Linked DNA regions of Lonchura striata. The protein of the gene in region 1 binds, or shares a complex with, the protein of each later gene. Links are inferred from orthologs where the notes say so. Each region holds a gene or a part of one and is shown on either strand. Other genes may lie near its edges. The genes, in order: GLB1 and CTSA.

The links.
Region 2: the proteins of GLB1 (region 1) and CTSA are in contact, whole or in part, in a cryo-EM structure (PDB 7KDV), measured with the Mus musculus proteins. The link is inferred for Lonchura striata from reciprocal best matches to the Homo sapiens genes GLB1 and CTSA. Residues at the interface, in NP_033882.1 of Mus musculus: Tyr198, Asp199, Arg202, His206, Leu229, Thr233, Leu234, Gln235, Asp236, Leu237, Lys258, Phe259, Glu260; in NP_001033581.1 of Mus musculus: Glu29, Asp31, Ala37, Lys38, Gln39, Pro40, Ser41, Phe42, Arg43, Tyr107.

The regions. Positions count from the first base shown.
Region 1 is NC_134603.1:113,036,384-113,040,286, reverse strand, and holds the start of GLB1 (beta-galactosidase), read left to right. Parts: upstream 1-990; 5' UTR 991-1,062; coding exon 1,063-1,116; intron 1,117-3,764; exon of another isoform or gene 3,765-3,853; coding exon of another isoform or gene 3,854-3,903. Other genes in the region: TMPPE (transmembrane protein with metallophosphoesterase domain), read left to right, coding at 3,854-3,903.
Region 2 is NC_134619.1:8,202,093-8,205,995, reverse strand, and holds the start of CTSA (lysosomal protective protein), read right to left. Parts: upstream 2,635-3,903; 5' UTR 2,565-2,634; intron 2,367-2,564; coding exon 2,206-2,366; intron 2,134-2,205; coding exon 2,022-2,133; intron 1,904-2,021; coding exon 1,853-1,903; intron 1,580-1,852; coding exon 1,493-1,579; intron 1,400-1,492; coding exon 1,244-1,399; intron 941-1,243; coding exon 849-940; intron 556-848; coding exon 471-555; intron 374-470; coding exon 282-373; intron 77-281; coding exon 1-76. Other genes in the region: NEURL2 (neuralized-like protein 2), read left to right, coding at 3,198-3,873. UniProt on the Homo sapiens protein: Protective protein appears to be essential for both the activity of beta-galactosidase and neuraminidase, it associates with these enzymes and exerts a protective function necessary for their stability and activity.

The DNA.
Region 1 (3,903 bases):
CTATAGGCCACCCAGTCAGGATGACAACACCAACAAATTAGTCTTTAAGCAACTAAGAAGTACCTGTAAATCAACATAGCTGATAACAGGTCCAAAAGATTCCTGAAACGCCTAACCTCTTGGTACAGGTACTATGAGAACTGACTGGGAAAGGTGCCGTCCTTGATTTATTGCTTGTTAACACAGAGGGACCTGTGGGCAAAGTGATGATTTGTAATTTCTTGAGTGATGATTTGTGGCTTTCTTGGCCACAGCAATAATGAATCAAGTTTAAAATCTGCTGACAGGAGAACTGCCAGCAAAACTTCAACTCTGGATATGAAGTGAGCAAAATTCAGGCTGCTCTGGGAACTAGTTAGTGAGGTTCCCTGGGAAAATGCTTCTTTCTGCCTTTTTGCCCAGCCAAGGTGGCAGAGGCTGCGAATGTTCTGGCATTCCTCTGGGAAGCTGGGGCAAGTCTTTGGCTTTGGACCGGCTGGAGTGTGAGTGGTGCTGCAGATGACGGTCTGACCACTGGAGGTAAAGGCCAGAAGCAGCTTTCTGTCCTGGCAGCTATTGCATGGGAGCAAACTTTGGCGGTGTGCTCAGCGCTGGTGACTGTCTCTTGATTTCAGTGCAGGGCTCCCCGAAGTGCTTTAACATGGGAAGGAGACCACCTAGACCCAGTGCTTCCCGTCAGGATGATGGGCTGTCTAGGCGAGGTAAAGGTCAGCAAGGCCTTTCCATCTTGGAAACTTATGTGTGGGAGAAGTTCTTGCATGGATTTATCATCGGCGGTTGCATCCCAAAGTCCCCCGGAGCTCGCGGCGCTGCACGTCAGCGCTTTAACACGGGAAGCAGCGCCCCGGGCTCACAGCCCCGGGCGCACGGCGGGCTGCGGGGGGCGACCCGGGAGGGGAGGGCGGGAGGAAGCCGGGCTCGGAGGGGTGGGGCGGCGCTGCCTGGTGGCGGCGGGCAGGGAGGAGGAGGAGGAGGAGGAGGAGGAGGAGGGATGCCGTGCTGCGCCGGCCGTTTCCCGGCGGAGCCGTCAGCTGACGCCGCCGTTTCCTGGTGCCGCCCGCCATGCTGCGGCTGCTGCTCCCGCTGGCCGCCCTGGCCGCGCTCCTCGGGGCGGCGGTGAGTGCCCGCCTCGCCTCCCCCAGCCGGGGACAGCGGGGCGGCTCTGAGGGCCGGGGGAGGGCTGGCAGGGGCCTCCTGCCGCTGCCGGAGGAAGGCGCTTCGCCTCAGTCCTTTTCTCAGCCGTGAGCGATGCAGGGCGGCGCACGGGCGCGGGTGCCGGGCTGGTGGCTGCGCCGAGGGGTCGGTCGCGGAGCCGCGGCAGGGAGGGCTCCTGCCCTTCTCCCGAGCAGGCCGGCCGCTCCCGGCCGCTCCCGGCCGCTGGGGCCGAGGAAGGGCTGGCGGTGCCGCCCGGCGCCGGGGCTCGGGGCTGCCGGCCCCGGCGCTGCCTGCGCGCCCGGGCTTCGCTGGGGCCTCGCTGGGAGAAACCGGTACCGACCCGCTGGGAGATCCGTGGGATAAACGTGCTGATCCTGTGGTGTGCGAGAGGAGGGAAAGGGGCTTTACCTGTTCTCCACAGATTCTGCTGTAGCAGCCTTGTCCCGCGGGACGCAACACCACAGCCCAAGGACGAATCCTCATGCTCCACAGTTTCCGTGTTTTATGCCTCGAGTTTGAGGCAGAGTGACACTATTACCTTGGTAGATGTTGTGGTTGGATGGGGCACGGGTGGTTAAAGATGTATGAAAAATAGAACATCATGTGAGATCTTATGGAAGGGGAGTTTGGGTTACAGTTTGTGCACTTTGTTAGGGGTGAGGTTGTTCCTGAGCCTTCCAAAATTTTGAAGGTGGCAGGCAAGAACAAGTACTCTTCAAACTTGATAGTATTAGCACTTTTGGAGGATTTAATAGGTTAATTTCAAACAGATAAAGTACTGTAAAAATACATTGTTTCGAGAATTTGCTGCCATGGGAGGTTGTAGAACCAGACAGTACTCAACAGATTTTTAAAAATTGATTTCCCAGATTTAAATATGGCAGGCTCTTAAGCAACATCCAAGACTTTCTAACACCCATTTCCAACAAGAAATGACTGTGAAGGATTTGCCCTCTAAAATCCCTCCTGTAGCAGCTGTGTCAGTTGAAGGAGCACGACGGAGCAGACCACAGACTGTGGCCAAGGTCCTGTCATTTCTTTATACACTGTTTCTTACTGCCGGTGTCCAGACAGAGTATTGCATGGTGCCTAGAAGACCTATGGACTTGAATCAGTAGGGCATTTATTGTGCTCTTATCTTCCTAGCTCTGTGTGTTTTCTGCAGAGACATATGTGCAAAATAGCACTGTTTCTTAAGAGGAGTTTAGTAACAACTGAGAGGGTTTGAGGAGCTGAGGCTGGCAAGTACGATTTTCCTTATCAGCTCACAGTTCCCTGACATAAGCAATAAGGGAATGGGTCTTTTTAAAACTTGGTCTAGTCCTCAAAGTAGATCAGGGTCCTGTCATCACAGATGTGCTAATGTTCTTTTAAACTAGCTTGAGAGGGTATTGCAGCAGATAAGCAACCTGGCAAACTGGGGTTTGCAGACTTCTGGGCTCAGGCTCACTGCTGAGCCCTATAATGCTGCTTTTGTACCCTAGTTCTGAGACATTTTTTGCTATAATGATTGCTTGCTTTCTGTATCTAAGTGTGGATTGAGAGACAGGAAGTGTTTTGAAAATAAGTATGCTATTATGGGACTATTATGTCAGACATGGTCTCTCTTGTATATTATGAAAGACTTACCAAACTTTTTTCATCTATGATTACAATAACGGGTTTCTTCTAAATAGAAATGTGCAACCTGAGCGATAATAGAAACACCATGACTGAGCAAAATACAGAGCAAACCAGGGAATTCTGCTACCATTCAAACATAACTGATGCTTGCTTGTTTGTTTCAAGTCTGTGAACAGTCATGCATTAGATTCTGTACTCCCTTCTAAAGGAGCAGGGTGTGGTATTTTAATCCCTTTTCAACTTGGTTGCATCCTGTTAGACCAGGATATACTAGAACAGGTGTTGAGTCTTGGAAAACTTTACATGTAGTGGAAGTGGGCTGGAAATGAGTAGTGTGAGTTTCACTGATCCTACTGATCTTCAGATCCTAGTAATTTTCAGGGCTTTGGAGAAATCTGATTCACAACAGCAGGCAAGGATCCATCTGCTGATCATCTGCAGTTTCTGGGACCACAGTTGCATTGTTCCAGTGGAGATTTCACTGCTGCTGTAGCATCTGTTAGTAGAACCTCTTGCATTTGGTAAGAATGATGTAGGGTGTTGCCTTCTTTTCAGATGGAGCCAACTGCTTGGCAAGAAGAACAGAAATAATGTATTAAGGTAATATCACAAGCAACTTAGTCCCAGAACATGTACGGGATTTACAAATGCTGTAATGGTTGTTCCCTGGACTCACTGCAACCCTGTTGTGATGTATTGCCATCTACTATTAGGAAGTCTTGATGAGAAAAAAGTGTTTAAAAGAAAAGGGGGTGTGGGGGAGAAATGATCGAGGGAAACAGGGGGCTTGGAAGGGAACTTCAGCATCCAGTCTTTTCTGTTGTCTGATTTACTCCACTTCAGGACATCTCTGTGTTGTTATGACAGTGATTCTGCATGACCCAGCATCTTGTGTAGTATGTAGAGTAACAATCCTTTATTGCAGTCTGGGAAAAAGGGAATGTGTGTAATATTTTAAAGCGGCTCATACTGGTTCCTGGTTGCAGGCTTTGTTGACCCAAGGCATCCCTTCATAACCACATTATTGACTTCTGGAGACTTCTGCAGAACAGAAGGGAGCAGTCAGGAAGCAAAGATGATCTCCTTCAAGCAACTGCCTATTGAAGCAAAGGCTGCAGTGGCTGC
Region 2 (3,903 bases), on another chromosome or scaffold:
CCGCCAGGAGAATCTCAGTGGCATCCGGATGAAGGAGTTGCCCAGGTCATGTGTGATGAGATAATCACCCTCATATCTGTAGCCATAATGAGTATGAGGACAGACTGAAAACCCTGGAGAACAAGGGCTAAGGGCTCTCCTGAGGGGAGTCCTCAGCAGCAGCCACACAACCATCCAAGTGTCCCAGAGGGACACTTACCCAGCCCAGCTCACCAGGTCCCTCTGTGTAGTGCAAAGCAATCTGGTGCTAATAGAACTATTTTCCCTGGGGCTACTCTCACCTCATGCTCCCTGGGACACCTCCATCACAAGGGGCATAGAGGTTGTAGATATTGAGGCCAGACTCCTCTACAATCTGAATCATTTCCCCCATCTGCAAGGAAGGGTTTGGGACTCAGCAGGACCCTTGTGGACCTGTGGGCCCAGGCACGTTCTGCTCGGCGCAGGTATAGGGGCTCCGGCTCCCTCACCTTGAGTGTGCAGTTCAGGTTGGAGTTGTCATGGAAGTTGCACTTCCCCTCGGAGCAGCAAAAGGCCTGCAGGTCTTTCCACAGCCTGCAGGCAGAGACCAGGACCACTTGGACCAGGTGGCAACACTGACATGACAGCTGCCCTGCAGCTCTCTGCCCAGTGGCCACAAGGCACAGAGCTTGGCCATGTGTCCTCCTTACCCCACAAATGCACCCACGGGAGCTACCTGGGACAAGGAGCCACAGCCCAGATGCTGACCCAGGGCAGGCTATGTGTGCCCTTGTCTCAACACCACCAACCCAGACAGCCCCAGCCTCAGCTGTGCACCCATCCTGCTTGCACAGGGAAGGCACATCCAGCATTCCCTCTGCTCTTACTCTGTCCCCAGCAGCCCGTGGTAATAGGCAAAGTAAACCAGGGAGTTGTCATTGATCTCATAAGATGAGAGGCCGTTTCCCACAGCGATTCCCTGCGAGGCAAGAAGAAAACAACCCTGTTGTGTTCCAGCTCCCCGCAGGGCAGTCACAGCAGAGCAGCCGCAGGCAGGAAGCAGATGTGGAACTGTTTACTCTGCGGAGGGAACAGGGAGGGTTGGGGGTGCCTGAGGACACTCCCCTGGCAGCAGGGACAGACACGTCCACCAGCAGCTGCTGCCAGAACCCCAGGAAGAGATAAAAGGCTGCAGGGCCAGGCGTGCCCTACATCCCGGCTGGTCCCACCCTGGCTGTGCCAAGCCCTCTGCTCCCCGACTGGGCAGAGCCAAGCTGCCCACCTTCAGGTTGAGGCTGGGGTCCTGCATCACCCACTCTGCCAGTGTGGGAATGTAGACCCCTCCATAGCTCTCCCCTGTGAGGAAGAGATCATTCTTGGAGTACTCGGGAAAGAGCCGGAGGAAGTCCTTCAGTGCCAGGTAGTTGTTGTGAGCAACCTGCAGGGAGAAGGTGGCATGGTCAGGTGGTGAGGCTGAACCCCATGGCCAGGAGTGGGCAGGCAGGGGAGCAGGGCTCTCCCAGTCACTCGCCTCCGTGTCATTTGTGCCATACTTCTTGTCATCGGAGTATGAGAAGCCGACACCAGCAGGAGACTCCAGGTAGAGAATGTTGGCAATCTGCAAGGACAGCAGAGGAGCCAGCAATCAGGGGAGACCCTCTGCCTCAGTGGGGCCAAGGACTGCTAGCCCCACCCATGGCAGCGCCCACAGGAGTGTGGCCCGCCCCAGGGCTGCACTGGGGTGGCCACATTCCTGTGCTGCTCAACAGCAGACTCAGGAGGAGGGTGTGTTGGGCAGGAGGGGAGCAGCAGTCAGGTCAATGGAGAGAGCAGGAGGAACTGGCTCACAGCCACCCTATCTTAAAGCCACAAAGGGAAGCAGTGCCTGTACCTTGTTCCATGCGTACTCATTGTACTTCAGTGTGACCCCATCAGGCTGGATCTGAGGAAGAAGATGGTGACTGATGGGCAAAGCAGGGCAGGACACAGAGGGATGGCTCGTGCCACGCAGCCGGTCATCCCCTGAGCCCTTGAGCCACAGGATAGCAGTGACTACTAACCAGGAAGGGGCCATGCTCCTTGAGAAAGCCCTCCATGGAGCTGCAGCCAGGGCCCCCGTTCAGCCACAGGACCAGGGGGCTGCTCTGGGGATTGCTCTGGGCCTCCACGAACCTGTGGACGTGTAGCTGTGAGTGCCCAGTGCCAGCCGATGCCCCCCCCATCGCCAGGCGCAGTCCCACGTACCAGTAGTGCAGGTATTTGCCCGGCCCGGCGCAGAGGTAGCCCGAGAAGTGGCGGAAGGAGGGCTGCTTTGACAGCCCGGGCAGGTAGGTCACCTCATGGTCCGGGGGGGCGGCCCGGCCCAACCCCAGCAGCAGCAGCGACGACAGCAACACTGGCCCCATCTGCGGTGGGCGGAAGGGACGGTCAGGGTGCTGTCAGCCAGGAACGGCCGCGGCAGCGCCCCGCGAGCGCCCCGGCCCGGCTGCTCCGGCAGGCCCCGCACTCGGGGCTGACCCCCGGCCCGGCCGGCTCCCCTGGCGCCGGTCCTGGCCCCTCCGTCCCGTCCCCCGGTCCCCTCCCGGCCCCCCGGTCCCGCTGACCGCGGCCGCTCCCGGCGCGGCGCTCGCAGGCGGCGGTCACGGCGGGCACATGACACGCGCCCATATGACCTGCGGTGCTCACGTGAGCGGGGCGGGGCCCGGCGGCGGCCAATCAGCGCCCCGGGGGCGGCCGGCCCCGCCCCCGGCCCCGCCCGCGCACGTGGGAGCGGCCCCGGGACCGGGACCGGGACACCGCCGGGGGGGGCAACGACAGAGACCCCGCACCCAAATGGGGGCAGCCGGGCGTGCGGTGCTCCGGTGGGCACCACAGCTGGGTGCCACCCAGCAGCGCTGGGTAAAGCCGGGCATCGCCAGGCCCTGCCAGTCAGCACCGTGTGATGGCCACTGGCCGCTGCTGGCTATAGCTGGTACCACTGGGCACCAGCGGGCACTGCCTGCTGCTGCTGGACAGCATGGGCACATCCAGGCACCCCAGGTGGCAGCGCTAGACAGTCCAGTGTGGAATGTCTGTGGGTCTGGTTTGGGCCCGGGTGTGCCCAGCAGCCACAGGGCCCCCCAACCTCCCCCATAGAACTAGGACCCCCCTGGAGCCCTCTGGTTGTCCCTCCCAGCCGGGCTGTCACCACCTCACAGCAGCTGTGACAGGGACAGTTAAAAATAGCTCCGGCAGCAATGGCTGCCCGGTGCAGGCTTGCTGCACGCTTCCACCACATCCACGGCGCCAACATCCGCCTGGATGCCTCACACACGCAAGCCACACGGGTGGAGAGCTTCGCCAACGGGCTCTGCTTCAGCCAGGAGCCTCTGGCACCCGGGCAGATCTTCCTGGTGGAGATTGAGGAGAAGGAGCTGGGCTGGTGCGGGCACTTGCGTGTGGGACTGACAGCCCACGATCCCCAGAGCCTGGAGGTAGTGCCCGAGTACTCGCTGCCGGACCTGGTGAACCTGGGGGACACCTGGGTGTTTGCCATCACCCGGAACCACAACCGTGTGGTGGTGGAGGGGGAGGAGGTGCAGGCGCGGGGGCGGCCCTGGGAGCCCTTCCTGCTGATCGAGCGGGTGCGGATCCCCCGTGACACGCTGGTGGGGCGCAGCCGGCCCGGCCGCTACAGCCACATCCTGGATGACCTGTACAAGATGAACGTGCTGCCCGCGACTGCCCGGCGCAGCCGCATCGGGGTGCTGTACGCCCCACAGCCCGATGGCACCGCCGACATGCACATCGTCATCAACGGCGAGGACATGGGGCCGAGCGCCAGGGGCCTGCCCACCACCCGCCCGCTCTACGCCGTCATTGACGTCTTTGCTTCCACCAAGAGTGTCCGGGTGATCCCGGTGGATTATGGCTGTAGGTACCTGTGCCCTTCCCTGCGGCACG